5 linked regions of the Canis lupus familiaris genome follow. The main gene of each other region encodes a partner of the protein of the gene in region 5 in a complex. Links are inferred from orthologs where the notes say so. Each region holds a gene or a part of one and is shown on either strand. Other genes may lie near its edges.

Region 1 (6,675 bases), on a different chromosome or scaffold from region 5:
AGATTTTTCAGAAACCCACTTTATAAACTATAATTAGTCTCCTATAAAGGGAAAATTATTTCCTTTATTCCTTTTCTACATGTCATAACTTTCATATTTTTGTTATACATTACTATCTACATATTTCTATTTAAAGTTAGCCCAAGGAGGATGCCTGGGTGGCTCGGTGGTTGAGTGTGTGTCTTGGGCTCAGGGCATGATCCCGGAGACCCAGGATGGAGTCCCACGTTGGGCTCCCGGCATGGAGCCTGCTTCTCCCCCTGCCTGTTTCTCTGCCTCTCTCTTTCTCTCTGTCTCTCATGAATAAAAAATAAAATCTTAAAAAAAATAAAGTTAGCCCAAGGAAATCCACATCTTTTCAGCCTACAAACTCTTCTACTTAAAATAAATTGACAAAAATAAGAAATTTTCCAAAATGAAGGTAATAAACATCATAAAGGAGTAAGAAAGGTCCTTAGAAAGTAGAAATAATGCATAAAAGAGTTAAACCCCAAATGTTATCTCAGTAAGCAATTCCAAGATGTAAGTGTAGGTCTGGATATTGAAACACAGAATTACATAGAGAACTTATATAAAATCAAATGACCATCAATTCTATAATAGAGGTTCAAGGGAACAGGTAAAACTTGAAATTTCTAAATCAGTGATGGCACAGACAGGAACAAGAACTACTGTATTAAAAATGGTATTTTTAAAAAGATTTTATGCACTTATTTGACAGAGAGAGGGGAAGCGAGTGCACAAGTGAGTGCACAGCAGAAGCGGTGGGGTGGGGGGGGGGGCGGAAGCAGGCCCCCTGCTAAGCAGAGAGCCAAATGTGGGGCTCAATCCCTGGGATCATGACTTGAGCCAAAGGCAGATACTTAACTGACTGTGCCACTCAGGCACCCCAAACATCTATGGGGTATTCTTATAATATACAAAACATGTCCCCAACCGTTTCCTAACAGTGTCCTGAATATTGGTAAAAAAAAAAAAAAAAAAAAAAAAAAAAAAAAAAAAAAACCTTCACATCTAGATGAAAACAAATGATCTGAAACTGGTTGCTAATTCGTTACATAAAATTTTTTTTCTAGTTACCCTGTTATAATTATTCTCTTCTAAAAAGAGAACCAGAGGCAAAGAAAATATACAGCATTGCAAAGAATCATGAGTTTAAATTAGAGATGGAGATGAGTGCCTTGAATGAGAAGGCTGCTCAATTTGGGATTATATATTGTGAAATCTTTTTCTGGATGTTTCTAGACATAGGCTGGATTATAAATTGTATATCTTGCTGTGAACAAGGGAACAGACAAGATTTCTCAAGATCCTGTCAAGCCTGGTGATCTTTGGAAATGAAAGCCTAATTAAGAGGCTCCCTAGGGACAGGTCAAAGGCGTTCTTTTATCCCTACTGACCCCATTCCAGTTCTCTGATGCCTATTCTGCTCCTTTTCATTCAGCCTACTCTAAAACTGAAGAATACATATTGTGCAAGTTTCTACCTTTGCTTCCTCTACTGTAAATGCATTAGACTATTAGAATTAAGAATTTTAAATACCTTGTCCCTAATCTCTGAACTGACGGGTTTTGTTTTTTAATAGAGCTTAACATTTAAAATTCTTCTAACCTTTGTTCTTTTCTTCAATTGAACATAAAGCTTTTAAATGTTGGACTATAAAAGTACTTCAAATATCTTTTAATAAATCTATCTGATGAGTAATACGCTGTCAAATTTCAATTCGCATTTATTTTTTCTAATTTCAAAGATTGTGCTGCATGCAATTACTTATTTGAATTAAACTGTTAGAATCGTTTTGAGTGTCTCACTTCTTTGAAAGGTTTAGGTGAGTGTCTCTACAGTATCACTCAGAGAATAGCAACTGATGCACGTTTTAAAACTTGACATAATTATTTTGCAGATTTAAAGTAATTAATGTCCTTTCTTCCATTGATAGTACAGCAGGAACAGTAGAGCATTTTATTGTTCTTTTATAGCCTCTGCTCCCTCACATGAAAAATTAGTCACGTTAATTTGTGTAAGTTTTTAAACTTTGCAGAAGTGAAAATGTTCTAAATACAAGCGTACGTGAAAGAGTTTTCCAGGGTGTAGAGGTGTGGGCCCTGCTGCACCCCCGAACAGCAATCTTTGTCCAGACCACTCCACAGCGCCATGTTAAAAGCTAAAATTTTAACTTCTAAAATTCTGACGTTTAGGTCTAAGTCTCCTCTTCAACACTCATAAGCAACACCTAAAAACACAAGACAGGCTTCAGACGCTAACGTTCCCTAGACCACCGCCCCAATCACCGTCCCAAATTCCGTACGCAGCTCCGCCAGGTCGGCAATTACCCGCTCCGGCTCCTTGGCGTGACGCTCCAGCTGCACCTGATTGGCGCACCGGCTTGTCAGTCACGAGGGTCCTCGAAGGCCCGGGCCGGACGAGACGCTGTGTTTTTACGTCATTTACCGGCGACGCAAGCGGGCGGGCGAGGGGGGCGGGTGTTGTGAGCACAGCTCGGTGGTGGCGGGGGTAGCCTGCGAAGGTGTCATGGCTGCTGCCGTTGAGCTTAGCCTCTCGAGCAGTGGTGACAGGAGTCCGGAACGGAGCTGCAGCCCCAATCTCTCCCAAGAGGTGCTCCGCGAAATCTTTCGCTCACTGCATAGCCTGGTGGGACAAGTGAGTGGTGGTCTGTGGGAGCAGAGCAGGGGGTTGGGAACTCTCCGGCCCCTCCCCCCTTTTTTCCTCTAGCGGAGGCGGGGGGCTGCTTAGGGCTGCCGGGGACCGGGACTGAGTACTGAGGCCGGCGGAGGAGCCTGAGCCTAGCTGCGGTCGGAGCGAGGAAGGCCGTACGGGCTGGCAATTCTCCCCAAGAGTGAGAGGATAGTGTAAGTGAAAAACCTGGCTCCCAGAAGAACATGCTTGGAGAGAGCGAAGGCGTAAAAAGCTTTGTGGGTTTGGAGGGTGCCTGGCGCTCAGCATCCCCTATCCTTCAGTGAATTTGTGATAGAAATTGATAGAAGTAACGGCCTGAGAGTTTTGGCAAAGCTCTCTCCGCTTTTTTTTTGGGGGGGGGGGGGGGTTGATTTGCTTTTAGGAGTCACTTGGTTTTCTTTCTTTTTTTTTTTTTCCTTCTGGTTGTTACATGTGCATCTCTTACCCTTTCATATGGGGAGGAAAAATGAAAGGAATTAATGTAAATACTTCTTGCATAAAATTCGATGAGTTATCCATGATTGATAGAGTTTGCATCAGAACTGTTTGTCATTTAATTATTAGCTAATTTAACTGACTGATGAATAGCTTCTGCAGAAATGTCATAATAAATTGGGTTTAAATAAAAGTACTCCTTACACTATTCAATCAAGTCAACTGTTTCATGAAATAAAATGCAAAGCATATTACAAATGATAAACAACTTGAAAATAAGTTTGTTTGCTTTTAAAAAGGAAATCTTTTGTATCTTAGACGGAATATTTTTTTACTCTAAAAGTTTGTTATGGGGTTGGTATTAGTGCATGTAGTAGGCACAGCAAACATTTATGTCGAGGATAATGTTTATGAAAACAACACCTGTCTAGTTTGTAAAAAGTTATTTTTAAAAGCCGTGAGTGGATGGAGAATTAATTTTTTAAAAGGTTATTTCAGTATTTTTAAAAATCCTAATATGTTTGTCCTTAGAAAAAGCATTACTCTAAGTTAAACATTTAATTTGGTCTAACGGAACAATTATTAACAGAATCTGCTAAAAGTTGTAACTGTTGAGCTCAGTTGTTTGCCGCCAACTTATTAAAATTTTTTAAAGACTTGGGGACATTAACATTTTAGTCTTATCACCCAAGACCTGTAATGGTTAAAAGTCTGAGAACGTTTTCTGTCTTGGATATTGGAATTTTAAGGTTTATTTATATTTTAATGTCACGATGAAAAAAGTTTATGCTTACCTGTAATTTACAGTTTTATTTTCAGTGGTGATAAATTTTTTAAAGTAACATTAAGAAATAATTTAAACATTTCTTTTGAAATATTTTTGCATACTGAATTTTTAAAACTCATTTACAGATTTTAAACATTCGCGTATTTTGTGATTAAAGTTTACTTATGTCACCTGTCAAAAATGTTGAGAGTACATATTTGGAAAGTTTACATGACACATTGAAGGGACCATCTATACAGGTGTCAAAAAATTAAATCATTGTCTCATCAATTAAATACTATTTTGATATTAGTCTTTATATTTTGAGATGTATTGTTTAAAGGGAAGAATGAAAGCCACAATATTATAAAATTGCCCCTGGAGGAAATCACTATGTACTTTTGCAACAAGTTTATAGGATATTTTTTTTAATGTAAGTTTCAAAAAAAAAAAAAGTAAGTTTCAATATGCCTAGTTTCATTCTGCATAGTATCATTATATTGTTGGCTCTCCTCAATAGGAAACATAAAATTGAATGTTAAAAAGTATCCCAGATTTCAAATTTACTTATTTTAACCTTATTGCTTGCCACAGCATGGCTCATTCTACCAAGTTGAAGCATTATTTATTGTTAGCTTGGAGTTTCATACTAATTTTTTATGGAAAATGCTTACTTAAATAGTCCATATTAATGTCACACCAATACATTTTTGAGTGAATGCTTTACGTTTACAAGTTATAAAGGGTAAAAATGCATCGAATTCGTATTACTAATAGGGAATTTGTTGAATAAATAGTTGGATATATTATGATAATTTTAAAGTTAATTTGTATCATTATGTAGTTTTCTTTAAAAAAACCAAGTGTCTTTAATTGTGCTTGAAAGGCTTACATAATTATGCTGAATTGAAAGGAGAATATGATCCCAACATTAAGATTTATTTTATTTGTTTATTTTCTTTAGGAAATTTGATGCTTTACTTTAGTTGAGGATTTGTCTGTGTTATCCCAAAACTCTATTTATAAATTTGTTAGGAACTGTAGATCTCTTAGAGGACTGTAGAAGTACAGTAATTAAATAATATAAACTAAGATTAATGCAGTAATCTTAATGTAAAACTTTAGTTAATATAATCTAATCTCTGCCAGTGTAGCCTATCCAAAATTTCTTATTTCTTTATAGTTGTCTGATACAGACTTTAAATGTTTCTTGTCTCATGGAAAAGGTGGTAAATTTTTGTCATACAGTATTCATTAAGTATACTGCCTTTTTTGGGTAACTTTGGATTTCTGGTTCTTTGTACAGTGATTCATCTTTTTGTTTTATTAGAATCACAACTCATAACATCAGTATTTGAACTAATGTAATACTTGCCTTTATTTTGTGGAAAACATGACTTAATAAATGATTTCTGAAAAAAAAATAAACTTAATTCTACCATGCATCATAGCTTTATAGTATGCTATAAACACATGTCTCTAGAAAAGTTTATGAGGTTCATTTGTATTCACTTGAAAGCCTAGAGATTGAGGCTTTCACTCTAAAATTTTCATTGATTTTGATGATAATTTTATATTCAGGTTCTTGATAGTTTTCTGTTTATAATTTTATTCTAATAGGTCATACATAGCCAACTTATAAGTTTTATATGACAAGCCCCCTCACACAGTATTAGAAAATACTAGTTAGCAAAAGATCTAGCCATTCCATTCAGTCTCTGACCATTTATTTCACTATTGTGGAGGAGTATTTCTTTTTTACATTCAGATTTCCACAGCTAGATAATAGTTTTTTATTTGAAGTAGATAAACATGTTGCCATTTATCCCTAGGCTTTATAATCTGTATGAATAATCTTGATTTTTAGATTATTTTAAAATTGGTTAAAGATGAAAATGATAAAAATATGATTCAGAAAACATCAGGGTAATGATATATGTCAGTTATGTCTGTGTACATATTTAACAAAAAGAAATATTTGTATGAGAACTTTCATAAATGTGTCTGCCCCTTCTGTTTAATGCTCTGAGCTGGAAGTACTGAATAGGGCAAGCCTATTTTGGCCCTCATCCAAAGGTTTTAGATAATGAAGTATCAAAAAAGCCTCATGTTTCCATCTTTTGTGGATGGTGTTTCACCTGTAAGATGGTCCCATTACACAGACCCAAGAATAGAATTAGAATGAGATACCATTGTGTTTTTTCTATGAAAATTGCACCTTTCATGGCCTTTTAAAATGGTAACGAGGTGCATAACAAGCATTTTAATGTATTGTTAAAAATCTGATAACTTTGAGCTAGATAGTCATGTTACCCTAAAGAAATACTATTTTTGTGACATCCTATATATACAGCTTAATCGTGTAATTTTTGTGATGTTGCTGGTTTGCCCCTTTGAAGCTTAACCTCAGAGATGATGTGGTGAAAATTACAATCGATTGGAACAAGCTCCAGAGCCTCTCAGCATTCCAGCCCGCATTGCTCTTTAGTGCACTTGAGCAACATGTTTTATATTTACAGGTAAATTTCTTGTTAAAAATGTTAAGTCAGTATTAAGAATGGAAATTAATTGTAGTTAAATTATAAGCTAGAGTATTTGTCAGTTCTGTCCTAACATTGTATTAATAGTGTTATCAATAAAAGGTTACTTCAGCCAGATTAGATCCAAATCTGTTAATTTACATAGTGATCTGAACAGTCAGGAATATAGCCCAATAGGCCAGTGTGGCTATGAAGATTGAATGAATGCAATTCTATTCAATTCTAGACTTTGACTGA
Region 2 (5,879 bases), on a different chromosome or scaffold from region 5:
CCTCTCTGGAGTGGCTGTACAAATTTACTTTTCTTTCAGCAGTGAACAAATGTTCCTGTTTCCCCATACTCTCCAGCCACTTCTTGATGGAGTTTACTTATAAAATAAATAAATAAATAAATTATATTAAATAATAAGTGGGTAAGTAGAATTTTTTTCTTTACATTTCTGTATTTTCTAAGTTTTTTATTTAAAAAAACATATAAAATAAGTTCTAGATAGTAGCTGGGGTTAAGACGAAAACCATAGCCTTTTATTGTAATAACATCCAAAATGTAAAAAATTCTGTCATTCACATCATAGGTAGCATTTCTAGGCGATGAAATTAGATTCCATGTTTTATATCTAGGACTTTGCCTTGTTCTCTGATAGAGTGACTGTTCTGTTCTAAGAGCCCTTGAAAGGACTGAGAAGAAGCACTGGTGGATTATTCTCTATTTTCAACAGGTTGTTGGGGTGCCAGTTGGGTCTACTTTACCTTCAACAGTGAAACAGGCTGTGGCGATCAGTGGTGGCCAAATCCTTGTAGCCAAGGCCAGCTCTTCTGTTGCCAAAGCAGTTGGTCCAAAGCAAGTTGTGACCCAAGGAGTTGCCAAAGCAATTGTGAGTGGAGGTGGAGGAACCATTGTTGCTCAGCCAGTGCAAGCCTTAACCAAGGCTCAGGTCACTGCTGCTGGCCCTCAGAAGAGTGGATCCCAGGGTTCAGGTAACTGATACTGATTGGGTCCCTTTCAGCAGCAGGCCTTTATATATAAACTGTTCTTTGCTAGTAGTTTTATTTGGTATTTGGTTCTAAGAAAACCTATTAGGTTGATGCATAACGAGTATATAAAAACATGTTAATTTTTTTCAGGTAGCATTTTACATAGAAGTCTGTAAAGCGGTTTACTTTAAGGGAGCATGTGTGTGTTTTAGCAAGAGTAATAAAAATAGAGCGTATTTCTTGATAGTGGTTTCAGGTCTGAAAGATAATTTTCATTTGATCTTATCTCCACTTTGGATTGTATTCAGACTTAAAATCTTGGGATGGTCATTTGTCAGCAGCATTTTGAGATACTGAACTAATGCTTTCTCTACCAAACAAGTTTAAACACCTTGGATGTGTTTGAAGCCTTGATATGTTGTTTTTATGAGAGCATGAAAAAATATACCTAAGACATTAGATGCACTAAGTTTTGAAGGTCTCGATGAGGCTAAAGAATTATTGCAGTGAATTAGAAGGATGAGGGTAGCGGATGTCTGAATCATATTGTACACCTGCTACTCACACTGTGTTAATTATACTTGAGTTAAAAAATTAAAAAAGAAAACATAAAATCTAAATAATAAATTGAAAGAATAACCAGAATCAACTTTATATAAAACATTAAAAAGATTTAGAAGAAGGGATCCCTGGGTGGTGCAGCGGTTTGGCGCCTGCCTTTGGCCCAGGGCGCGGTCCTGGAGACCCGGGATCGAATCCCATGTCGGGCTCCCGGTGCATGGAGCCTGCTTCTCCCTCTGCCTGGGTCTCTGCCTGCCCCCCCCCCCCCCCCCGACTATCATAAATAAATAAAAAAATTAATAAAAAAAAAGATTTAGAAGAAAAAGGGAAAAGAAGGAAGTGGATGTCCAAAATAAAGATTTCAGAGGTGGTGAGTTGTTGGTGATGGCAGAGTCCATTTGTGCCATTAAAAATGAGTGTTTGCAATGTTGGAGGAAGTGATCTTTGGAGTTTAGAAAATGAGGTGCCTGAGAAGCTAGATAATTAAGTCACTGATAGTGCTATCACTGAGGATGACAATCATTGGCTTTAGAGCAAGACTGAGTCAGGAGTCAGTCTTCAGCAAGTGAGGGGAAGTGATTGGGAGTTCAGTAAATGAGCACAGAAAAGAGGGTTAAGGTGGTAGAGCCAAGCAGGAGCCAGTAGGTTTTTCTTCTGGAATGAGGGGTAATAACGGTCTGAAAGCCAAATGGTAGAGCACAAAGACTCCTCTCCTTGTCCTGGCCATCAGACACTAAGTAAGATTCAAAAAATAGCTTTTAGCTAAGGGTGCTACTGGGGAAGTCCTGTATCTTCAGAGGACTCAGTGTTTAATACCACAAAAAGAAAGACTTCAGAGAGGTCAGGGTTCTAGTGGGTGTCATTATCACAGCAGGAATTCCTGGGGGTAAGATGAGAGAGCCAGGGGAGGAGGATGGGCTGAGGAGATGGGTTCAGATGAGGAATGCAGGGCAGTGTGAGGCTGGACTCTGGGTGCGGGTGACTGAGCAGAGAGGCTTGCTGAGCTGCACAGTGATATAAGGTGGGGTGAGTTCTAGCAGCAGTGGAGAGGGCTGGTACTCCAGTCTTCATATCAGCCCCTGCTGTTGGGGGGTAGCTTCCTGGGGTCTTGCTTCCCTGGGCTTGCTCAGTGGAGTAGTAATGAAGAAGAAGACTAGCTCAGGCTAGAGGAGGCTCTGAGAGCCCTGTGCCTGTGGTGACTCACTCGGTTCTATGGGCTTCATTATAGGGAGATTTGAATTCAGGGTAATTGCAGAAATTTTGATGTGTAAGTCTTCACTGAAGAGTCACATTTAGAGGTTTATAGCCTTGTGCATTGAGAAGTAAATCCTAGGGGATAAGTGAAAGCTCTTTGACATAGGTGAGACTTTCAAAAGGTAAATTCTGGTTTCATACTATATGTGCTAGTTGTTGACTGGCTTTTTTGTTGTTGTCATTTCTTTTTTTTTTTTAGTTCTTAAAAAGTGAAAGAGGTTAGAAGTCTTGTTTCAAATCTGTAGTTTCATTCATTACTAGAAATTGATAAAAAGGGCTTTAAACGGGTTTTGGAAAGAAATATATATTCATCCAAAAATAAGGTTATTATTTCTTTGATTGTCTAAACCATAGGACTTTTGAGAGTAAAAAGAGTCACGGTTAATAATGATTGGGACATAAGTATAAAAATCAGACCCAGGTATAAACTGGAACTGTTCTGGGCAAATTGGGACATATGGTCATCCTATTTATGTACAAATATAAATTCCCCTTTGTAATTTATGGCAAGCTCTTCTAATATGTAAATTAGTTTTTGATTAGCAAGATATTAGCCTTTGAAGTATTACATATCTAGGAAAACAAACTGTAGAGTTTACTGTTTGTGTTTTTTAATAAGAATTTATTGCTCTGTTTTTAATTTTTAGTGATAGCATTGTCCTCAGTTCTACTTTTTCCCTTTACTTTTTTTTTCTTTTTTTCCTGTACCATTTTAGTAATGGCAACATTGCAGCTACCAGCCACTAATTTGGCCAACTTGGCAAATTTGCCGCCTGGCACTAAACTCTACCTTACAACGAACAGCAAGAACCCTTCAGGAAAAGGGAAACTGCTGCTGATTCCTCAAGGAGCCATCCTGCGAGCTACCAACAATGCTAGTCAGTCCGTCATTAAATCATTTGGTTCTTGGGTCTCTGGGTATGTTCATCTCATCCACCCGAGGGGCAGCTCTTACCTGTTTCAGGAAGTGTTTCTGTAGCTCTTTGTGGTGGTATGATGGTAGTATTTGCCCACCTGGATTTAAAACATACACATAACTATAAGTGGGTTTAAATAATCATAGTTCTAGGCGATGACACTGCTATTTTGGGTTTATCTACTCAGAGTTTGGGGTCAGGAACAAATCACACTGGAGAGAGATGACTATTAAGACAGTGTGGGGAGAAAACTGTTCGTGTGAACTATAAACAAAAAAAGTTCTTCTTTTCAGTGGTATCTAGAAACCGGTGATACCTGGGGAGATAGTAGCTGGAGGCCTATGTGCATTTTGGAGGGCATAGGAGTAGGAGTGGAATCAAATGTTCTCTGCCTGCTGTTATTTAAGTTTGTCAGTTTTGGAGATGGAACGAGAAATATAGAGTCAACCTTAGTGTTAAGCCTTAAAACCCCAAAGAAATTAGGTTAGACTTAATCTAGAAATTATCTAGACTTAGAAACTTTGGCTTTGACATAGAGAAAAGCAATTTGGATAGTGCTGGAAAGGAAAGGGTAAAAGGAATTATTTCCCTCTGAATCATAAGTATAATTGATAGAACAGTTAGGTTCACTAGAAATGAGCTGCCCTTGCCAAAATCTAGTGTATGAGCTAGTCACCATTTTGTTTCCTGACTGTTTGCTCATCCTGGCATTTTTTCCCTCATACCTAAGTATTGATATATAAAAGATATGTAAGAAAAGGACAATGTAAGGATTCCATTATTTACCCAGAGAGCCACCTCAGTCTTAGTTTATATACATTATGTCACCAAAAGAGAAGTAAAGGGGATCCAAAGGCTTTAAGATGGAATATAAAAAGGGGGGGGGGGAATGGGGCACTGAAGTCATTATAAATATGAGGAAAAATGTTTTTTTTCCAGGGCAGAGGGAGACAGAAAAGAGAGTTCTGTAAAACTACACTTAATTTTATCAGTTTCACTGAAATCGAATGAGATGCCAGAATGTTTAGAAGCCCTTCTCTGAGCATATTTTAGTCAACACTTGGTTAGAAAATGTCAGTATCAGACTGTTGATCTCCCACAACGAAGTCAGAACTCTTGTTAAAGTGAAGTTCTTCTTGTACTGAAAGCTGAACTCATCATTTGTCCTTCAGTTGAAAGTAAAAATCAGTTTCAGTCCTTAATTCTAGAACAGTCTCCTCACTGTTGTCACAGAATAGGTATGTTACCAAAAAAGGGGACTAGGAAAGGGAAGGGATGGAAACGTCATCTGTCACTCTGGGTGCATTTTTTTTCCTGGTAAGTCTCTTACTATTTTTTATGATGTTGCTGTCATCTCGTTGTGTTTCCAGATCTCCAGTCTGGCTCAGCTTCAGGTAGTGGTGGTGGCGTCAGCGGAGGCAGCAGCGGCAGTGGAGGTAGCAGTGCGGGTGGCAGTGGTGGAGGAGCCCAGAGCCCCGCGGGCCCTGGAGGGATATCCCAGCACCTGACTTACACATCTTACATCCTGAAGCAGACTCCTCAGGTCTGATCATTCGTGACTGGTATCTTTCAAATCCTTTAGTTATTAACAACTTCCTTTAATTATACTGGATTTGTTTTTACATCTCTGGGATTGGGAGTCAATACTAACACTATAGCCACATGGAATCTTTATTATTTTGAGCTTGTTTTGAGAGGAGATAGAAGTTCAGAAAGACTTAAGTACGAGATCTCTCTGCTAAGCCAATGCTAGAATTTGGATTTAAACTCATAGCTTTCTGACTCAATTTTTGCTACACTGTTGCCTCCCAAATCCATGAGTTAATGAATAGTATTAAGAGACAGTTGAAAATTTTCTCTTGCAAGGGAGTAACCAGAGGAATACTATCAAGTTTTGGTATTTGGAGTTGAATTGGATTCATGATTAAGAATAAGTTTCTGCCTTCTTTCCCCTAGTTGCTTTTAAATCTTGACTCCTCTCTTAAGGAAGGTCGTGGAATTCTGGTCTAGATGTTCTTAATGAGAAGGATGGGTAGTTACCAGTCTGAATAATTCAGATTTAAAGACTAGGTTGTAGAACTTGACTGTCCAGCAGCCTGCTCCATAACTACTGTGCAGAGTTTCAGAAGTGGGGCTAGCTAGCTGTTGGTAGTGGAACTGAGGGCAGAGCTGTTCTTTTTAGTTATTTTGGCTGAGTTGCAGAATTGAAGGTGAGCATCGTAGCTTGTAACATGGGACCTTGTGATTTATAGGGTCAGGGCAAGTCATTTTCACTTAACAAATTACTGAGTAGATCTTTGTTTCTAACTTAGGGTACATTTTTAGTTGGTCAGCCATCACCGCAGACATCTGGAAAACAGCTGACTACTGGATCAGTGGTCCAGGGAACCCTGGGAGTCAGCACATCTTCTGCACAAGGACAACAGACGTTAAAAGTCATCTCT
Region 3 (6,337 bases), on a different chromosome or scaffold from region 5:
CAAAATTTAAGATTTAAAAAGACAGAAAACCCACATCCCAGTACACCGTTTGCTGACATCAATAGACTCTAACCAAAAGCATCTGATTTTTTTTTTCTTTCAGCTCTTTCTTGAGAGGCTGGCTTTTTTAGGTGCAACTAGAAAATATGGTCAGTAGTTTACCAAGAACCAGATGTGTCTGATCTACCACTTCATCATACCAGGGTATTATCTCCCATCAATCTGTCTTCTGGTAATGAAAACATAATTTTCAAGTGATGTTGGCCTAATTAAATATACAAACTAAACCAACATTACATCTTCTGAACAATATAACCAAAAGCCAGTTGTCCTTTTCAAAAGAACTTCCACAGACAGAAAACTCATATTCTTGCAAGTGAACTATACATATTTGCTATTTTTCCATTTTACAGCTTTTTGAGAAGCTACTTGCAGATCAAAAGCAAATGGGCCATGGGTATATGCCTCAGAATAATCTGTTAATATCAATCTGACCTTGCCTAGAAATATCCCATGTACATGATGGGAAAAACATCACATTTATAAAATTTGAGACTATATCCTCAGTACAAACTCCACTTGCATATTTTCAACTAAGTCAAAAAATCCTCCCTAAATTCACCCCTGACAGATTTCATTAGCACATCTCCCAGTGAAGCACTGATAATTGAGATAACAGTCAAAGCTGCTACAGCAACTGCAGTTTATAAGGAATATCTTAAGTGGCTAAGATCATTTCATCTAATCTCTCTTCCTCATTACCCTGTTTATTTCCTTCATGGCAAAAAAAAGTGCTATGGGTAATTAACGTGTTTGTCTGCTTATTGTCTAAAATAAATGCTTAGAAGGCCAGCTACCTAGCTGCTTCGCTCAGCACAGCAGTTTCCAGGCCTAAGCAGCACTGGGTTTGTTGTAGGCACTATTTGTTAAAGTGAATAAACATAAATACTGAGAAAGTAACATATAATTCGTTCATTTTTAGAACTTACTGTTGACATTGGTACCCTGTTATAGACATAGTAATTTAAGAAAAAAAAAAAAATTAAGGCAATCTGGGGATCACAAAAAAAGCTATCGTTCAGGCTATAGTTGGGTTGGATTAGGGTGCCGGTACTAGAGATGGTTAAAAGGTGGACAAAGGTATACCTCAAACAAAAAATATTCAAGGATATCAGAAAGGGAGACAGAACATGAGAGACTCCTAACTCTGGGAAACGAACTAGGGGTGGCGAAAGGGGAGGTGGGCAGGGGGTGGGGATGACTGGGTGACGGGCACTGAGGGGGGCACTTGATGGGATGAGCACTGGGTGTTATTCCATATGTAGGCAAATTGAACACCAATAAAAAATAAATTAAAAAAAATATATATATATATATTCAAGGGCAGCCTGGGTGGCTCAGCGGTTTAGTGCTGCCTTCAGCCCAGAGCATGATCCTGGAGACCCAAGATTCAGTCCCACGTCGGGCTCCCTGCATGAAGCCTGCTTCTCCCTCTGCCTGTGTCTCTGCCTCTCTCTCTGTCTCTCATGAATAAGTAAAATCTTAAAAAAAAAAAAAAAAAAAAAACAACACGCATGTCTGAGTTTAAATACAGAAAATCTGGATTTATGTCAGTTTCTGCAATTGAGCCATATTATACCTCCCAAAACTATTTCTAATGTGGCAATTTTATATTTTTTAAACGGTTTTATTGTTCTAAACATGGCTGCCAGAAACATATGGACCTCCTTTTCAATTCCAATATGAAATTCTGTGTCTGAGGTTTTCAAGAATCTCAAACCTAATTCACTAAGTTAGCATTGAGTATTTTTACAAAGAAGTCCTTTCTCCATGTATTTGAAGTGTCTAACTTCATTACACTGTCATTGTGAAATAAACAGCTCAACGACCCCAAAACAGCTCAAGAGCCTAGAAGTAAGCTCCTCATTCTCTGAATATTCATTCCACTAAATTCTTTGGGGGATCGAATTCATAAATTTGAGGGGAAAAGCTTTCTACTCACTTGCTGCCACGTGAGCTTCAGCCTTTCATACTGCTCCTTGCCATCTTCCGAGCAATCAGAACAAGTGAACCTAAAAAAATTATCACCCTTAAGGTAACTGAGCTGTTCCCTCAGCTGACCTAGGAGAAAAACAAAAAGGCACATCATAGGTTTATCTACAGCAGTATTTATCAGTTTATCAACCAGATTTTCCACACTTTCCACGTTTTTCTTCTTTTTCAGCCAACCCATGATAGCAGGATAAGAACAGGGAAGGCAGAAGAAAAGATTTTTATTTTTCTAACATAGTGTATGCCTGTTGAGATCGTGGTTCCCTAATTTTAAGGAGAAAGATACTGGAAAAGCAAGTTTTTATTGCTGTCATTGGATTTTCCAACTGTTAACATTCCTGACTCCCATGGATGTCTTTATACATTCTTTCAAGCAGTATCTGAGTTCCCACTGCATGGCAGGCACTGGTGCAGGAACTGGAATACGAAAGCCTGCTCTTGGCATTTTATAAATTCTAAGGGCCACAGATGAGAAAATAGGTCCTCAGAATAGCACAATGGTTCTCCATCCTCACTGTGCATCAGAATCACCCAGGGAGTGTTTTTTTGTTTTGTTTTGTTTTTAAGTGCCTGGGCCTATCCCACACAGAATGAATCAATCTCTGAAAGAGGAGTCTGAGTCTCTGAATTTTTTGTTCCCCAGGTGATGCTGATGCTCTGGGAGACAGGGTAACCTCTGGAACAGAATGTGGTGTGGGCTTAGGGAAACGAGAGGGCACACAGAAGGGAGACCCAAACCATGCTGGGAAGATGGTAGAGCTAGAAAAAGTGGGGTCTACAGGAAACCTGAAGGATGACTAGAATTGGCCAGGTGAAGAGGGGTGCCTGTGTGTATGGCAGGGAGGCCACAGGGGCTGGAGAGACACATATTCCAGAGAAGAAATTAAGAGATGCTAAGATCTTAGGATAAGAAAAGAGTTGTTTGTGGAGAATTAAAAGCTTACTCTAATACAAAGGTCTGGTTGTGTGGGGAAAGGACACCACACAGAGAAGCTGAAGAAGTTAGCAGGGAGACAACTGTGAAGGACAGTTTAAAATACATCCTTAGAGGACAAGGGGAATGTCACTGAGATCTTCAGGCAGGTGCATGAATCAATAATCAGAAACTGCTCAGAAACAAACACTAGCTAATGCATAGCAAGTTCTAGAAGGTTTCCTATGACAATGTTAATTTATTATTAGTAACTTAATCTGAATAGTTAAATTCATGTTAGACACATTTCCACGTACCAGAAAATTACCCCCTTCACATCAACATGTGTATACATGTGTGTATGTATATGTGTATGTATATGTACATACATATACATACATACACAGAAATTTCTCTGACCAGTTACAAACTCTATTACACAAAGAATTCTTCTGGTACATATGTCTTTACTAGTCTCTGCCTAATGGGAAAATCCTGTTTTGGTAAGACTCGTGATGGCTGGCAAAGCATGCTCCTTGAGAGCCAAGAAGCTGACAGATGCAAAGATTAAGCTGAAAGAGTGTGGTATCAGGGGAATGTGTGTGCATGTATCTCTTGCCAGCAGATCGAGGAGGCCGGCAAGTGGAAAACAAGAATGGTCCCAGAAAAAGAGCACAAAATACTTTTAATCAGCTAACTCTGATTTCAGCATTTAACAATAGTTTTCCATGGGAGTTAAATATTACCAGAGTAACTTGAACTTTAATTCTATACTGGGCCTATTATTTGGTCCCAAATCCATAACATGATCTTGTTAGAACAATGTGGCTAATTCTTTAAATAACGCAGAATTTCCAATTTTCTGATTTTTATTGGATTGCCATCAAAAATGTTAATTTAACATGAGGTTGATAGTAATTTTTATTAATACAAATGTTATCTACGTTTTATATAAATCTGTCATTAGCCAACTAAACTGATGATAAATATAATAATTATCTTTTTATTTAGGTCCATTTTACATTCATGTTTTGTTCACAGGTTAAAAAAACAAACCTTCACATAGTAATTGACAAATCAAAGGAATTAAGAAGCTCCTTACTGGCCGGTATCCATTTTTGGCACTTGTCACAGAAGTAGGACAGCTGCTCCTCCATCCACGACACATCTCCTTCATCACTGTTGAGGGAATCCCCACTCTGATCATGAGACAAGTCCACTGAAGCCTGGTCCTCCGATTCCACGATCAGGAGAGTCTCCCCCTCCACCTCCCCCTCCTCCAGCCCTTCTGAGGTAGATGTTCTGGTGGCTTCATCATCATGCCGGCTTATCAAACTACTCAGGTGGATGTTACTATCCATCCCTTCCTCTCACAGGTTCCAAGGTGCTTTTCACTAATAATCCTAAACTCTAGACACCAAGCTTACAAAGAGGCTTCTATCAGGATCACACAAACTGACAGAAATTCTTCAGAAGAGTGTCTGCCTGATTTACTGACTTTTAAAGCAATAATTTAGAATATATGATCCACTGTCCTTTTCTTTGGCCAAGCTTGAAAGGACTGTGACCAAAGCAAACTTGGAAGACCTCACTAAGCTATTCTCCATCCACAGTGGCACAACCACACTCAACACTGTCCCATTAATATGTGACATTCATTTCAAGTCATGTTTTTTGAGATCCTTTTGCCAATAACATCTTCTCTCTTTCTGCTTCAAGTTGCTCAGTCAAAATAATCTGTTCTCCCAAAAGACGAATGTTTTCTTTTTTCCGATTTTGTCTCTCAATGTCTCTGATCACTCCATCGTGAAGCCTCTAAAAACGTAAGAAACAGATTTTAGTAACACCCTAAACAGGTGGTTCCCATCCTTGTGCCATTCAATCGGAATAACAGTGCTACCAAAAACCACTAAAACTTTCAGACTCCAAATGCCCAATTACTATTTCAACTTTCTGTATAAATATAAAATGTAATAAACCATCAGATTAATTTGGTAGTGTGTTCCACCAGTAGAAATGATTTCTTACATTTTAAGAAATTCCTGAACTGGACATTCAGTATAGAATTTAATGGGAAATAACATTAATTTAAAAAGAAAAAAACTGCTCCTGTGTTGAACTTTAAAAGTTTAATTGGTATTCTAGGTTTTAAAAGACTTGGTGAGATTTACTATAGTAACTGTATGAACTACTTTCCTGTCATCAATTATTGTAGCTGAATAATAAAACATCAAAGAAAGAAAAAGAAAAGATTACAGAAACTTAAATAGGATACAAGAAAGGAAAGATCTTGGCTTCTTCTAGTGTGTAAAGAGAAGTAGTAAAAAATTATACAGAATTACTATCCAATTATATAACCGAGAGAGATGGAAAAAAATACAATGCTACTGGCAGAGGAAAAAATAAAGACCCATCAGTGATACTTTGATAAGCACTAAAGACTGGCAAAAAAATTCCAGAACATGGACCTAGCGCCTAAGGTGAGACTTTTCAAAGCAAAAATCCAGTCATTACTAATAACTACCATTTTATAGTCTTTTAGGTCACAAACTGATGTCTTTAACAGTGGCCTTGTGAGGTAGAATTAATGAGAGTGGGGTCCAGGGCCTGGGTTTTCGTTTTTTTGTTTTAAATTATTAGGTCTATTTAAAAAACTCACAGAATACCTACTTGCCAGACCTCCTTCAGACCTAGAGGTTCATTCATTATTACGGAGGAGTTGGGGAATTTAAGCGTGCTGGAACAGACAACACAACCAAAAATCAACTTTCTGGAACACCGCTCCTTGGCTAGATGTGCAAAGACATTTGCCTCCTCCCTCTCCAGTTCTTGGGTCCTGTGTTCCTTATACCATGACACACCCACCCACACACCCCACCCTGCCCCCCAAAGCGCAGGCCATCCGCTGGAATCATTCTTTCCATACCTGCCTCTGAGATCCTACCCTTCCTTTCTCAGACTCCAGCATATAGCTTAGGAACCTGCTTTCCTGCCACCATTTGCTATCTTCCTCCAAGTTTTAATATACGCTGATTGCCTGTGACTTCCCCTTAACGGCCTTACTAACCACCAAGAAGACCTCTTCACCATTACTCATGTACTACTCGTTTCACAGGGTTCCCGTAAGGATCAATGTCGGTGCCTGGTACGTAGTAGGCAGTCAAAAAAAATGAGAGAAAACTATGGTCATTATTTTATTTCTTGTTTCCTTGAACCTTCCAACACACCCACCATGTCAATCATCTGTTTTACTCCTTCCCAGGCAGGCTAGAGAGAAAGTCCACAGTGAATGAATGACCAGACGTAAAATAAACACAGGTTGTTCTGGTCAATCGTTTCTTCATCTGACTTCCAAATATCTTAATCTTTCTG
Region 4 (5,879 bases), on a different chromosome or scaffold from region 5:
ATCCCCAGAAGGAGAGAGAAAGCTTTCTCATGCTCTATAACCCTTTTCTTTATTTTAGATCTTTCCGTAACGTTTGAAGGCAAAACATATAATGAGAAAACCAGCCTCCCAAGTACAAAGATGTGAGCCGGACTCCCAGGACTAAAGATTGGTTCAAGTTCTATTTCTACCAACACTCTGATGTGAGGTACTATGGTTCTTGTTTTAGTTACAAGAGGTGTTGAGAATAAAGGCCCACTCACATTTAATAATAGCTTATCTAGCACATAACTGCTGCACAACACCAACAACAGAAGTGTTTTAAAGTGGGGTGGAGAAGAAAGTAGATGTTAATACAACTTAGGGTTCCCTTTGTCCTTCCTCTTTTTACAACAAGAATTCAGCTCAGAAATGAAATTCTCCAGAATGCCCATGCTGTTGTTTGGCCCAGCACATTCCAAACTTGTGATTTCTGATCCCAAGCCCTCAGAGCCTTAGGCTTTAGTGATGTATCCTTCTCGGATGAGGAAATCATAGATTTTCCGGGTTTTGTTCACATCTATCTTGATGAGTGCTCTCGCCTGTGCCAGTCTTAAGCCTCCTTGCTTGTTACATTCGTTCAACAGAGCAGATTTGTATTCTAAATAGGCTCCTGGGACCAACCTCACCATCTGACAGAGCTGCAAGACACGGCAAATTTAATAAACATTAACATCTGTCATTCTCATAATTTAATCCAGTAGGTATAGCCAAAATAAAATTTAAAAAGTGACATCAACCTCCAACTATTTATAGGAGCTGCTGGGTGGCTGGACCACATTCCATTTAGTCTCTTCCTTGGAGAGAATATTCCCTGACAACAGACACTTAGGAAGAGAAAACCAGAGTCTGATGCTGGGAGGGACTTTAGCACGTGTCAGCTGGCTCACCTGGGTTTGTCAAGGAGCACAAGTATGTGTCCTGAGCAGCAGCCTGGGTCCACAGAGCTCTCAGCCCAGCACATTCCAACATAGCCAGTCACGGAAGAGCCACAGGGCATAGTAGGGGCGGGGGTGCAGATACTCAGATTCCCAAGTGTGAATCACATTTTTTAGTATCAGCATAAAGTAGCTGTCACTGCTTTTGTGATTACATTTCCTACTTTGAAGGAGAAGGAGATACAGAGACCTCATGAAGAGGCTACTTCAGCTGCTAAAAATCTACAAAGCTGGCTCAATCCCAGTCCACCTGCCATGGCACCCCACAGCAATAAGCAGCGTGAGGTCACTGTTTGTGGGTAAGGATAAATACTGCTTGAAACTCTGGGCCACTTAATACTTGACTCAGAAAGGCCCGTGACCTTCATCAGCAATAGTAGTTCCCCAACTGTTTCCTGGGGGAATAGTAAATAAAAGACTAAAACAGCCCCTACTCCATGACTCCCCTTACTATCTGACCTACTAATGATATGGAGTGGCAGATGGGAAGATTGATCTTGGGAATCGTAAAAGGAGCACATGAAGAACAGAAGAGGGTTGCTCTTTTGGAATGGACTTCAGAGCTATGCACATTTTTTTTTTTTTTTAATGCTTGAGGATGACCCTTTTGAGGCAGCCAAAAGTAGTATGAAGATAAGTCTGATGATTTTAGTGGAAAAGAAAAGTAGGTCATGGCATTTTTAATCAACATTAGTATATGACTATATGTGATGATAAAGTCCTTTCTTCATGACTTACATGTATGCTATGGAGACAATTCTAAAAATCTTTTAAGTCATGGTTATATTGTTGGAATAATGTAGAGCTTATCAAAGTGACCATTCTAACAGGAAATGACCATTTTCATATATGAGATACTGTAGGTTTATAAATTTACAATTTCATTCACATGAAGCACTTAGTACTAAGTATCTGGTACATGGTAATGCTCAATAAATGATAGCTGCCATTATTTAGATTTATATATACTAATCATTCTAATCTCTCTCCTCTAGATCCCCGCCCCCCCCCCCCTTTTTTTTTTTACCTCCTTTTCTTTTTCATTCAGCTTCTCTGTGCCAGGAAGGCCAGTGAGGTTCAAGGGTGGTGCACTTCGTCTACCTACAGACACAGAAAAAGGTACGTATTTCATAGGAGTGACAATTGTGAAGTAACAGTCTACTGCAGCCAGGCTAGTTACATGGTCACCACGCCCAGCTGTAAGAAATCTCTACCCATCACCCCAGGCCTCAGTCCAGTTGGCAACATGGGGACCCCAATGTTCACCTGAAATTACTAGTGGTAATTCATGTGCCCTTTGCTCTGCTAAAATACACAATCACATATACCTTAGCAACCCAGTTGCTACTCTTTCCGACCCAGTAAGATTCTAAATTCTAAAGCCCAGATGTCACCTAGTGAAGAAAGGTCATATGCTACCAATCCTGACAGCTGATGAATGGAAATAACAAGTCCACAGGAGAGACACTTCCCAGCCCTCACCACTCTGCCAGGAGCAGGAGGCAAACACCGTAATTAACCACATACCATTTGCCTTCAGATCAAAGGCAGACTGTTAGGCCAGCAAAAGGCCCTTCTTATTTATTATGTGAGGGAATATCTGTTCCTTCCAAAGTAGCCTGTTTACCTGAAAGATCCACTCAGAGGAACAATGAGCCATTATATGGCAAACCAGAAGCTGAGGTGTACTCACATACTGAGAAAGAAACCTAAGCATGAGGTCACTGCCCAGGATGGGAAGTTTGATGCACAAAATTTTTTGCTTTGGTTTTGAATGTATATTTGGAGTTAGTGTTTAGTTGGGAGATAGGTGGGCTGAGTTAGGCAAAAGAAGATGTAGAATCATTTTTAACAAGTTTCATGGGGGTTGCCTTTCAGGGGGTGGAGAGAAATAGGGAGGGACTGTTACAGGCTGCTCTGCTAGAAAACAGCTTCTCTGTGGAATCAATAAAGGGATAAGGGCTTTTCCATAGCCAATAGGCCTGGCCTTCCTCTAAATGCTCAAAAAGGGAGACTAAAATCATTTGGTATCTCACCAAAGTTACCAGAGGCTAGGTTGTAACAAATGATCCAGGATTGCTACTTTGCACTGCCTGAGGAGTAGCTGAGAACAGGAGGAGAAGGAAGGGGTCTCCTCAACCTAAATACAGGGGATGAGAAAGGCTAACACCTGCTGAGGAAGCCACAAAGAATAAATGAGTAGAGATGGTTCAGAAAACACAAGTACCATTATTAGTTATCACTGTTACTATATTTGTTATTCTATTTCTGTATTTAGACTCGGGGTGCAGAGTTAGAAGTAAGTAACTCGTAAAATAAAGTTTGGATTTAGCTGTCCTGACCACTCTCTAAAAGACTTTTTCTCTTTTAAGTATTAAGAAATAACCACCTGAAACAAAGGAATCATTTTTAAAAAAAGAAGTAGCCTTCTCTGAGCCCTGTCTAGATGCTGAATCTGAGAGATTTTGAATGGGATCACAAAGTTTATTGTTTCAAGTTTCCAAAGAATGGTAAAACTGCAAGTGGGTCACCTTTTTCACTAGGCCAGTCTCTACAGGGGAGTGGTCTGTATGTTCTGATATGGGAAAGTGGCTAATCTAGCATATGGAGCAGGGATGAATAATAACTGGCAAAGAAACACAACAATTTTGGATCAGAGCTCTATAACTCACACCACCTCAAATTACCATTCATCGATTATCAAGCATCAAGGATTGCCAGATAACATATGACTTCAGCTGGCTCTGAAAACTAACTTCAAAATAAGGGCATACCCAAACAGGTAATAATAACAGAAATACCTCAAGTCTCTAACTTATAAAGAAATCCTTGTCTTTCTGCTTAGGATACAAAGGCTTTAATTTATCCTGTGAGACAAATCTCAAAATCTGTGGTAAATACAACCACAATAAACTGCTCATTGGTAAAAAAGAAAACACCTCTCTGGAGCTCTTTCTTCCCTGTCTCTGAACTCAAACCCTGATGATAATCCCTATCTGGCCATGATGATTCTGAAAACTTGCTGAGGTTTACATACTGGGATACACTTACTTACTTACCTGCTCTGCCTAAGCACTCTGCTCCCACAAGGGGAAGGAACTACTGAAAATGTGATAATCAAGACTTGCTCTAGCCTGAAAAATAATTACCTGAATTCGAAGCCATCGGAACAGAAGGGCTCAGGCCAGAATCACTAAAACAAAGAAGAGGAATTTAAAACTTATGTCACACCAAAGAAGGCCATTTCCAAAAGCCCATGTGGGACTGGGTGTCATTTATCCAGTTGGTTACTTTAAAGGGATGCAGAGATAGATGGCACTGTTTTATAGGATACCCCGCTATACTAACCAGGAAGTGTCATCTGTAATATGGCGTGTAAGAAATCACTTGGATTTGTTAAGAGCTCTTAATCTGGAACATCCATGGAGACTAAGGACAGGGACATGATTTGCCAATTGAAATAGTTCTAATAGATAATGGCGGGGAGAGAGGAAACATGGGGGAGGAGTTTACTAATTTTTTTTTTAAAGATTTTCTTTATTTATTTGAAAGAGAGAGAGAGCACAAGCAGCAAAGAAGAGCAGGGGGAGAGGAGAAGCAAACTCCCTGTTAAGCAGGGAGCCCAACCCAGGGCTCAATCCCAGGACCCAGAGATCATGATCTGAGCCAAAGGCAGATGGTCAACTTGAGGCACCCTGCAATTTACTAATTTTTTTTAAAATTTTTATTTATTTATGATAGTCACACACACACACAGAGAGAGAGAGAGAGAGAGAGGCAGAGACATAGGCAGAGGGAGAAGCAGGCTCCATGCACCAGGAGCCCGACATGGGATTCGATCCCGGGTCTCCAGGATTGCGCCCTGGGCCAAAGGCAGGCGCCAAACCGCTGCGCCACCCAGGGATCCCTCAATTTACTAATTTTTAAAAAGAGGATCAAAGTTAGCAAAGAAGGCCAGCTATGTTTCTCAAAACTGTCAGTACCACAGTGTTTCTGAGATAAGACTACTAAAATTAGAATTTGGAGTTTTTCTAGTTATCCAATCATTACTACTCTGCCATGTGGGTAGGGTACCCATGGAAATGTCTGAAACTACATGGAAAAGCCAAAGCATCTAAGAAGATGCTCATCCTCCCTGTACTAATTACTCACAGGTCAGCTTGCCGGCGGAGCCACTGCTGGCAAGCACTGCTGTCCTGGATGTACTGGAGAACTTCAGAGAGCATGGTGCGTTTAAGGCGCTCCTCCTCTCGAGTCTTCTTGAGGTGGTCATAGGTTCTGGCACCTGAGTGTAGATAACAGCATGACTGCCAATGACAACACAGCAGAGCTAACTGAAGGGCTTTCTAACTGACCAGCAATTCGCCTTTTTGGGGTTTCCTTTGTAAAACTGCTTCCCTGGCACCTGGGTGGCACAGTCAGGTAATCTTGGTTTTGGCTCAAGTTAAGATCACAGGGTCACAGGATTGAGCCCCATGTGGGACTCTGCACTCGATGGGGAGTCTGCTTGAGATTCTCTCTCTCTCCCTCGATTGCTCTCACTCTCTCTAAAATAAATCCTTAAAAAGATAAAACACAATGGAATTGGGATGCCTGGGTGGCTCATAGCCGTTGAGCACCTGCCTTCCGCCCAGGGATTGAGTCTCACATCGGGCTCCTTACATGAAGCCTGCTTCTCTCTCTGCCTATCTCTCTTTCTCTGTGGGTTTCTCATGAATAAATAAATAAAATCTTAAAAAAAAAAAAAAAAAAAAACCACACACAATGGAATTGACAATTCTTCTTCTCTTTCAACCACTGGGTACAGCTGTGCAATGTGGCTACAGATACTTGCACTAACTCTCCAGGTCACTCATGTGGGTATAGGTGATTTTCTGGTTTTTTAAAAGATTTTATTTATTTATTCATGAGAGACAGAGAGGC
Region 5 (5,879 bases):
AAAGAGAAAGAAAAAGAAAGGAGAAAAAAAAAAGGGGGTGGGGAAGGAAACAAATCAAAAAGCAAAACAAAACAAAAACAAAAACAAAAACAAAAACAAACAAACAAAAAAAGAACCACCGGGGAGTATCTTCTGATTCTGCGTACTTTAAGTCCCTTGGCTTCTCCTGGAAGTTGTCCGTCTAGCTGATCTTCTGGGGGAGGGGCCTGTTGTGCTGATTTTCAGGTGTTAGCAGTTGGGGGAGCTGCTGTGCCCCTGCCTGGTGCAGGGCTCGGTGGGGGTTGTTTACCCCGTGAGGCCGCAGGAGGAACAGCCCCAGTGGCGGGGCAGCTCTGGAAACCTGGATTCAGCTCCGGCAGGAACTCCGTCTGCAGGGCCTGGAGGCTCCGGGGCGGGGCCGCTGATCTGCTCAGCTGGGGCAGGAGCGTCCTTGCTGTCCTGGGCCCTCCCGGCCTCTGCCTGTCCCGGGGGAGGCGGGATCCTGGGCTGTGTCCCGGCGCCCTGTGCTTCGGAGCCTGCGCTGGTGGATTCGCGCTCCCGGGCCGCGCAGCCCCCTCCGCGGAGCCGCCGCCCGAGCCCCTCCGAGCTGCTCCTGGAACCGCGCAGGCCCCTCCGCACGGAGCCTCTTCCTCTGCCCGAGCCCCTCCGAGCTGCTCCCGGGGCCGCGCAGCCCCCTCCGCGGAGCCGCCGCCCGAGCCCCTCCGAGCTGCTCCGGGTCCCGCCGGGTCCCGCCGTGCGCGCTGCAGCCCTTAGGGAGCTCGGCGCACTCTCCTGGGCGCGCAGTTGCTGTTACTGTCCCCGGGAGCCCGAGGGCATCCCCGCCCTCCTGGGTCCTGCTCCAACTCCCCGCGAGCCCCTTTCCCCCGGGAAGGTCGGTGCAGCTCCTGCTCCTCCGGGACGGGGCTCTCCTGTCCTGGGGACACTCGCCCCGGCCTCAGCCCGGCTCCTCGCGGGGCCCCTCCCCCTTGGAGGCCTTTGTTCCTTTATTTCTTTTTCCCCGTCTTCCTACCTTGATAGAAGCGCGAATTCTTCTCACTGTAGCATTCCAGCTGGTCTCTCTTTAAATCTCAGGCCGAATTCATAGATTTTCAGGATAATTTGAAGGTTTTCTAGGTAGTTTGGTGGAGACAGGTGATTTGGAGACCCTACTCTTCCGCCATCTTGCTCCTCCCCCCAGTATTTCAGTTTAATTTGAAGGAAGAGTGGAATTTCGATAGGTGAAAAATAGGAAATTTCAAATAGAATGAATATCAGCATAAGGTAGTGAAAATGGGGAGGGTATGGTGTATATGGGCAACATTTTATGTTCTAGATTTTTTTGGAGTACCAGGTACATATTACAAAAATTGATTTGGGAGATAGATTTGGGCAGGCAGTAATTTGGAGGACCTTGAACTCTAAGCTGAGAAATTGGACTTAATTGGTAACAGATGATTTTTTTAAAGTATAATGATGGTCTGATTAGAATTCTCCTCTAGAAATGTTTGGATAATAAATTCAAGACAGATTATTAAGAAAAATCAGGAATATACAGGGCAAAATCTTAATGTTAGAATTATGCTGAGTACTACCATTTCCCACAAAACATTCATTCAGAAAATACCAGAGCCTATGTGTTGGGAATGCAACAAAGAGTATGAAAATAGTCTTTATTCTCAAGGCTAGTGGAGAAAAAAGATACATGCTCAGATAATTAAAGAATAAAGTAGGTAGATATGAGAATGCATAGAGAATTATGGCATATGAAATAGAGTGTACAATATGACCTAGAAGGATCAAGAAAGACTAATTTCTGTTTTAAATGGTAACTCGGAATTGGCGGGTACGAGCCAGGCTTAAGTAACAATTCTGAGAAAAGGCAGAGAAGGAGAAACAGCATTGTTTTGGTAGAATCCAATATGATCTATTCAGGAACAGATTCATTCGTTCCCTGTTGGTGTGATTTTTCTAAAGCTAATAGATAAAATTAAATTGGGAAAGAGCTTTTAGCTGTTGCAACAGTGTGTGTAATGCCTATATGTGTATCTTAGTTTCTAAAATTCCTTATTTTATTAAGAATAAAGCTTTAAAATATAAAGCCTTATTTATTTGTTTATTTAAAGTAGGCTCTATGCCCAGTGTGAGGCTTGAACTCTTGACCCTGAGATCAAGAATTGCATGCTCTACTGACTGACCCAGCTAGGTGCCCCAGTTTCTAAAATTCTCTGATGGTTGTGGAGAGGATATATCAGAGGAATGGATCTTAACTATCTCACTTAAATTCAGTTCTGGATAAGTGCCTTTTCTCTAGTATGTATATGGGAAGGGTATATATGTGTGTACACACGTGTATGTATTTATGGGGCAGGGGTTCAGAGGAGAAATGTGTATTTAGGGTAGGGAACTGTAAGAGAAACTCAAACTATCGGAGCACCTGGGTGGCTCAGTCAGTTAAGCATTCAGCTCTTGATTTTGGCTCAGGTCATGATTTCAGGATTGTGGGTTAGAGCCCTGCACTGGGCTCCGTGCTGGGGCAGAATTTGCTTGTCCCTCTCCCTCTGCTTTTCCCCCCTGCTTGAGTGTGTGTGTGCTTTCTCTCTTAAACAAACAAATAAATAAGTAAAATCTTAAAAAAAGAAACTCACACATCAAGGTAGCTATTGCATTCATATTTATTAGTACTTAAGAGTTAGAGGTACTGTACTAGACAACTTTTAAACCACAGAAATAATTTTTAGATTGAAAAATGTTTACGTGTTAATTTTAAGTTGAGAGGACAAAAGAATCAAAACAAAAGGAATGAGAAGCAGGAAAGGAACCAAAAATCTTTCTGCCAGCTCTTTCAACTTCAGTTGAACCAAAGGTCATAAAATTATGTGGCATAAAGGGTACTGCCTGTAAGAGAACCAAGTTTTGGAAACTGTCCTCAGCTGACAGAGAGGCAATGGTCTAACTATATTTTCTTAAAGAGTTCATATTCTCCAGATGTGTAACAGTTATATAGTGGTTGGAAAATATCCAAATTTGATAACTAAGTATGTAATTGGCTTAATCTATATTTAACCAAAGTGAGTATGTTGTGAATTTAAAAAAAAAAACTTTGTTTTTATGTTTTTGGTGTTTAGGCTAGACAGCAGCAAGCAGAATTGGCCCAGCAGGAATGGCTTCAAATGCAGCAAGCTGCTCAACAAGCACAGCTTGCTGCTGCCACAGCCAGTGCATCTAACCAGGCAGGATCTTCTCAAGATGAAGAAGATGATGATGATATCTGAAATTTACCAGCTGAGTTTCTATTTCCTCTATAAATGTTTTTCCCTGCACAAGAAAACAGTGAAAGAAATGCTTATCTGTAATTTTGTATGCATCTTGGTGGACTTGCCATTGGTATTCTAGGGATGTCTGCTGTTAAGTTTCATCTATTGTGTGCTATTCATGTAAAAACTGTCTCTTTGAACTATTGAAAATTTAAGGTTCAGTATAATATCAATTTTGAATTTTTAATGGTGTTTATGAAATTTTAGATAGCAGTGAGTCCTTTATTTGATCAATAAACAGTGTTACAGAAAACGTCAAGTTTATAAAATACAGTAAAATTTATACAGAAACTCTAAATCTGCATTTGCATTTCCTCTGCCCTTTTAACTAAACTAAAAATTGGGAATTTTAAATTATTGGGGGGAGGGTGTTGTGTGATGCAGTAGATGTTAGATCAGGTTGGTGAAAAAACAAAGAGTTCAGTTTTGTAGTATCTGAATTTTTTGTCTTTTAAAATGGGTATATATATATATATATATATAGGCAATAAATATATATGCTCAGATAAATATACTTGTTTAAAAAAATCTCAAAACATTCAAAAACTAGCAAGGAGTATGTTCAATAGTTGTATAAATTCAGTGGGTTATGTTTTTGATTTTGTTTTTGTTTTATGTAGAAGTGAAAACTACAGTTTTATTATGGCATAATTCATCTTGAGCTACACTATTACATTTCAAAGACTACCCAATTTTGAGGACTGTCATGATTCTTACTATTTCACTCCAATAATTGTTAATAGTATTACTTGCTCAGTCCATCCATGTTTATTGGACCTTGTGAAACAATTGCTTAGGTTCCATTGGTTTAAAGGAGATTCATGAATATTCAGACCTTTGCTGGGGGAAAGAAATGAAAGTTAATAAGCATGCTTACTGTAAAAGAGGGATTTTTTTGTAATTTAACTTGTAGTTATAGTTTACTTATTGTTTGTTTTTAGCATTACTTTTACATTTTCTTGACTAGATGGCCTAGAGTGTCCAGTGCTTCCTTTTGAAATGGCATCATTGTCTCCATCATAATTGAGTGATAGCTTTAAAAATGATTGGTTTTATTTTAAGAAAGTGTGTCGTAACTGATCAGCCGTATATGAAACGTAAATAGTTTCAATCTACTCATTAAAAGGGAGAAGCTTTACTTTGGTTCTAATAAATAAAGTATGGTAGTGATTTTTACAGGAATCCAATGTGTTGAAGAAATGACATATTGTTTGTATTTTGGAAACAGAATGGAAAAGCCACTAAAGATAGTATAAAGTAGTCTAAATTCCTATGTCAGTTGCCAAACCATTTAAATTTGTATATTCACCAAGCCCAAGAATAAATTGTGGCTGCCAGGATTCCAATTTTAATTGAAGAACTAAAAAAGTAAAGTTTATAAGTATTAGACTTCTTAATCTTATTTTGCAGTTTTAGAAAAAGTAAAATATTAGCATACGTTTATTAAATACACTTTCCCCATGCCATGAAAAAGGTTAATTTTGCTGGATATTTTAAGTTGAAGTTGATACTATATCCATGAAGTGCTTTGGACAAGGTAGAAGGGGTTGTTTTTTTAAAGTTTAAGTACCAAAGGTAGTCTAGTCTAAGAAATAATAAGTGTTGGCTTTTCTAATTTGTACTGTAACATCCTTATACTTTCTATTTTATCTGTTTCTTAAGTAAACAACTTAGATATTTTTCCACACTGTTTTTTTTTCCTGATGCAGAGTTCAGGTTAATTAATATTTTACTGCATCTGATAATGTATTATATGTTTGAAGCCTAGTGACTTTTCATTTTGACATTCTTGTGATTTCATATGCTGTATTCTTCAAGCAATAAAATTCTGATGTGTTTTATAAATTGTATTTACATTTAATAATCTACACAGATTAGCAGCAGGAGATTTCTATTAAGATTTTTACTAGTTTCAAGAATCTTTGGCCCAAAACACATTTTGATCATCTGGTATGTAGTACCTGACTTTCTCCTTTGTTTATTGTTATTTCAAAAAATGTGGTTTTACTTGTACTTTTGTAATTTACAGTCTTAGGACATAGGCATAACAAAGCTAATTAAGCAGGGTTTTACTTTTAGCTTATTTTTTAGCTTTTAAAAGTCACTATACTGTCTGTTGAGATTTTTTAAATCTTGTGGGGAGAGAAACAAATCTTTAGGATTCTTAAATAAAGTTATTGTTTAGTAAATATTTTCCCCATTTCCTTGGATATATATCTATGTTTTTCAGTAGACTATCACATTGATAAATGTTGAAACGTTACCAACATTTAAAACATATACCATACATATAGAAAAATATATAAGTGAGGGTTTTGACGAATTAAACATACTCCTATCACTGGCCCTTAAACCAAGACACAGCAGTATGAACTAACACTATCTTCTTCCTCCCCCCAAGTAATAACTATTCTGTTTTCTGAAACCATAGATTAGTTTTGCCTTTTATTTTATGTAAATGCAATCATAGATAATGTACTCTTTTTTAACTTTTACAACTTCACTTTAATAAGTCTTATGCTGGCTTACTAAAGAATAGTATTATACCCTTTACACCCTAATAAAGATTGGAAATTTACATTCCAG

The links.
Region 1: DR1 (region 5) and MBIP share a complex: the UniProt entries of both Homo sapiens proteins name them as parts of the ADA2A-containing complex. The link is inferred for Canis lupus familiaris from reciprocal best matches to the Homo sapiens genes DR1 and MBIP.
Region 2: DR1 (region 5) and YEATS2 share a complex: the UniProt entries of both Homo sapiens proteins name them as parts of the ADA2A-containing complex. The link is inferred for Canis lupus familiaris from reciprocal best matches to the Homo sapiens genes DR1 and YEATS2.
Region 3: DR1 (region 5) and KAT14 share a complex: the UniProt entries of both Homo sapiens proteins name them as parts of the ADA2A-containing complex. The link is inferred for Canis lupus familiaris from reciprocal best matches to the Homo sapiens genes DR1 and KAT14.
Region 4: DR1 (region 5) and TADA2A share a complex: the UniProt entries of both Homo sapiens proteins name them as parts of the ADA2A-containing complex. The link is inferred for Canis lupus familiaris from reciprocal best matches to the Homo sapiens genes DR1 and TADA2A.

What each region holds. Positions count from the first base shown.
Region 1 is NC_049229.1:15,068,881-15,075,555, reverse strand, and holds the start of MBIP (MAP3K12-binding inhibitory protein 1), read left to right. Parts: upstream 1-2,469; 5' UTR 2,470-2,532; coding exon 2,533-2,661; intron 2,662-6,297; coding exon 6,298-6,417; intron 6,418-6,675. UniProt on the Homo sapiens protein: Inhibits the MAP3K12 activity to induce the activation of the JNK/SAPK pathway. Component of the ATAC complex, a complex with histone acetyltransferase activity on histones H3 and H4.
Region 2 is NC_049255.1:16,911,628-16,917,506, forward strand, and holds part of YEATS2 (YEATS domain-containing protein 2), read left to right. Parts: intron 1-447; coding exon 448-706; intron 707-3,234; coding exon 3,235-3,396; intron 3,397-4,805; coding exon 4,806-4,978; intron 4,979-5,747; coding exon 5,748-5,879. UniProt on the Homo sapiens protein: Chromatin reader component of the ATAC complex, a complex with histone acetyltransferase activity on histones H3 and H4. YEATS2 specifically recognizes and binds histone H3 crotonylated at 'Lys-27' (H3K27cr).
Region 3 is NC_049245.1:5,354,818-5,361,154, forward strand, and holds the start of KAT14 (cysteine-rich protein 2-binding protein), read right to left. Parts: upstream 4,348-6,337; 5' UTR 4,327-4,347; coding exon 4,068-4,326; intron 2,122-4,067; coding exon 2,003-2,121; intron 1-2,002. Other genes in the region: protein PET117 homolog, mitochondrial, read right to left, coding at 4,631-4,780. UniProt on the Homo sapiens protein: Component of the ATAC complex, a complex with histone acetyltransferase activity on histones H3 and H4. May function as a scaffold for the ATAC complex to promote ATAC complex stability. Has also weak histone acetyltransferase activity toward histone H4.
Region 4 is NC_049230.1:37,201,583-37,207,461, reverse strand, and holds part of TADA2A (transcriptional adapter 2-alpha), read right to left. Parts: intron 5,242-5,879; coding exon 5,109-5,241; intron 4,150-5,108; coding exon 4,106-4,149; intron 2,058-4,105; coding exon 1,984-2,057; intron 660-1,983; coding exon 474-659; 3' UTR 1-473. UniProt on the Homo sapiens protein: Component of the ATAC complex, a complex with histone acetyltransferase activity on histones H3 and H4. Required for the function of some acidic activation domains, which activate transcription from a distant site. Binds double-stranded DNA.
Region 5 is NC_049227.1:56,183,740-56,189,618, reverse strand, and holds part of DR1 (protein Dr1), read left to right. Parts: intron 1-3,104; coding exon 3,105-3,251; 3' UTR 3,252-3,260; exon of another isoform or gene 3,261-5,482; intron 5,483-5,879. UniProt on the Homo sapiens protein: The association of the DR1/DRAP1 heterodimer with TBP results in a functional repression of both activated and basal transcription of class II genes.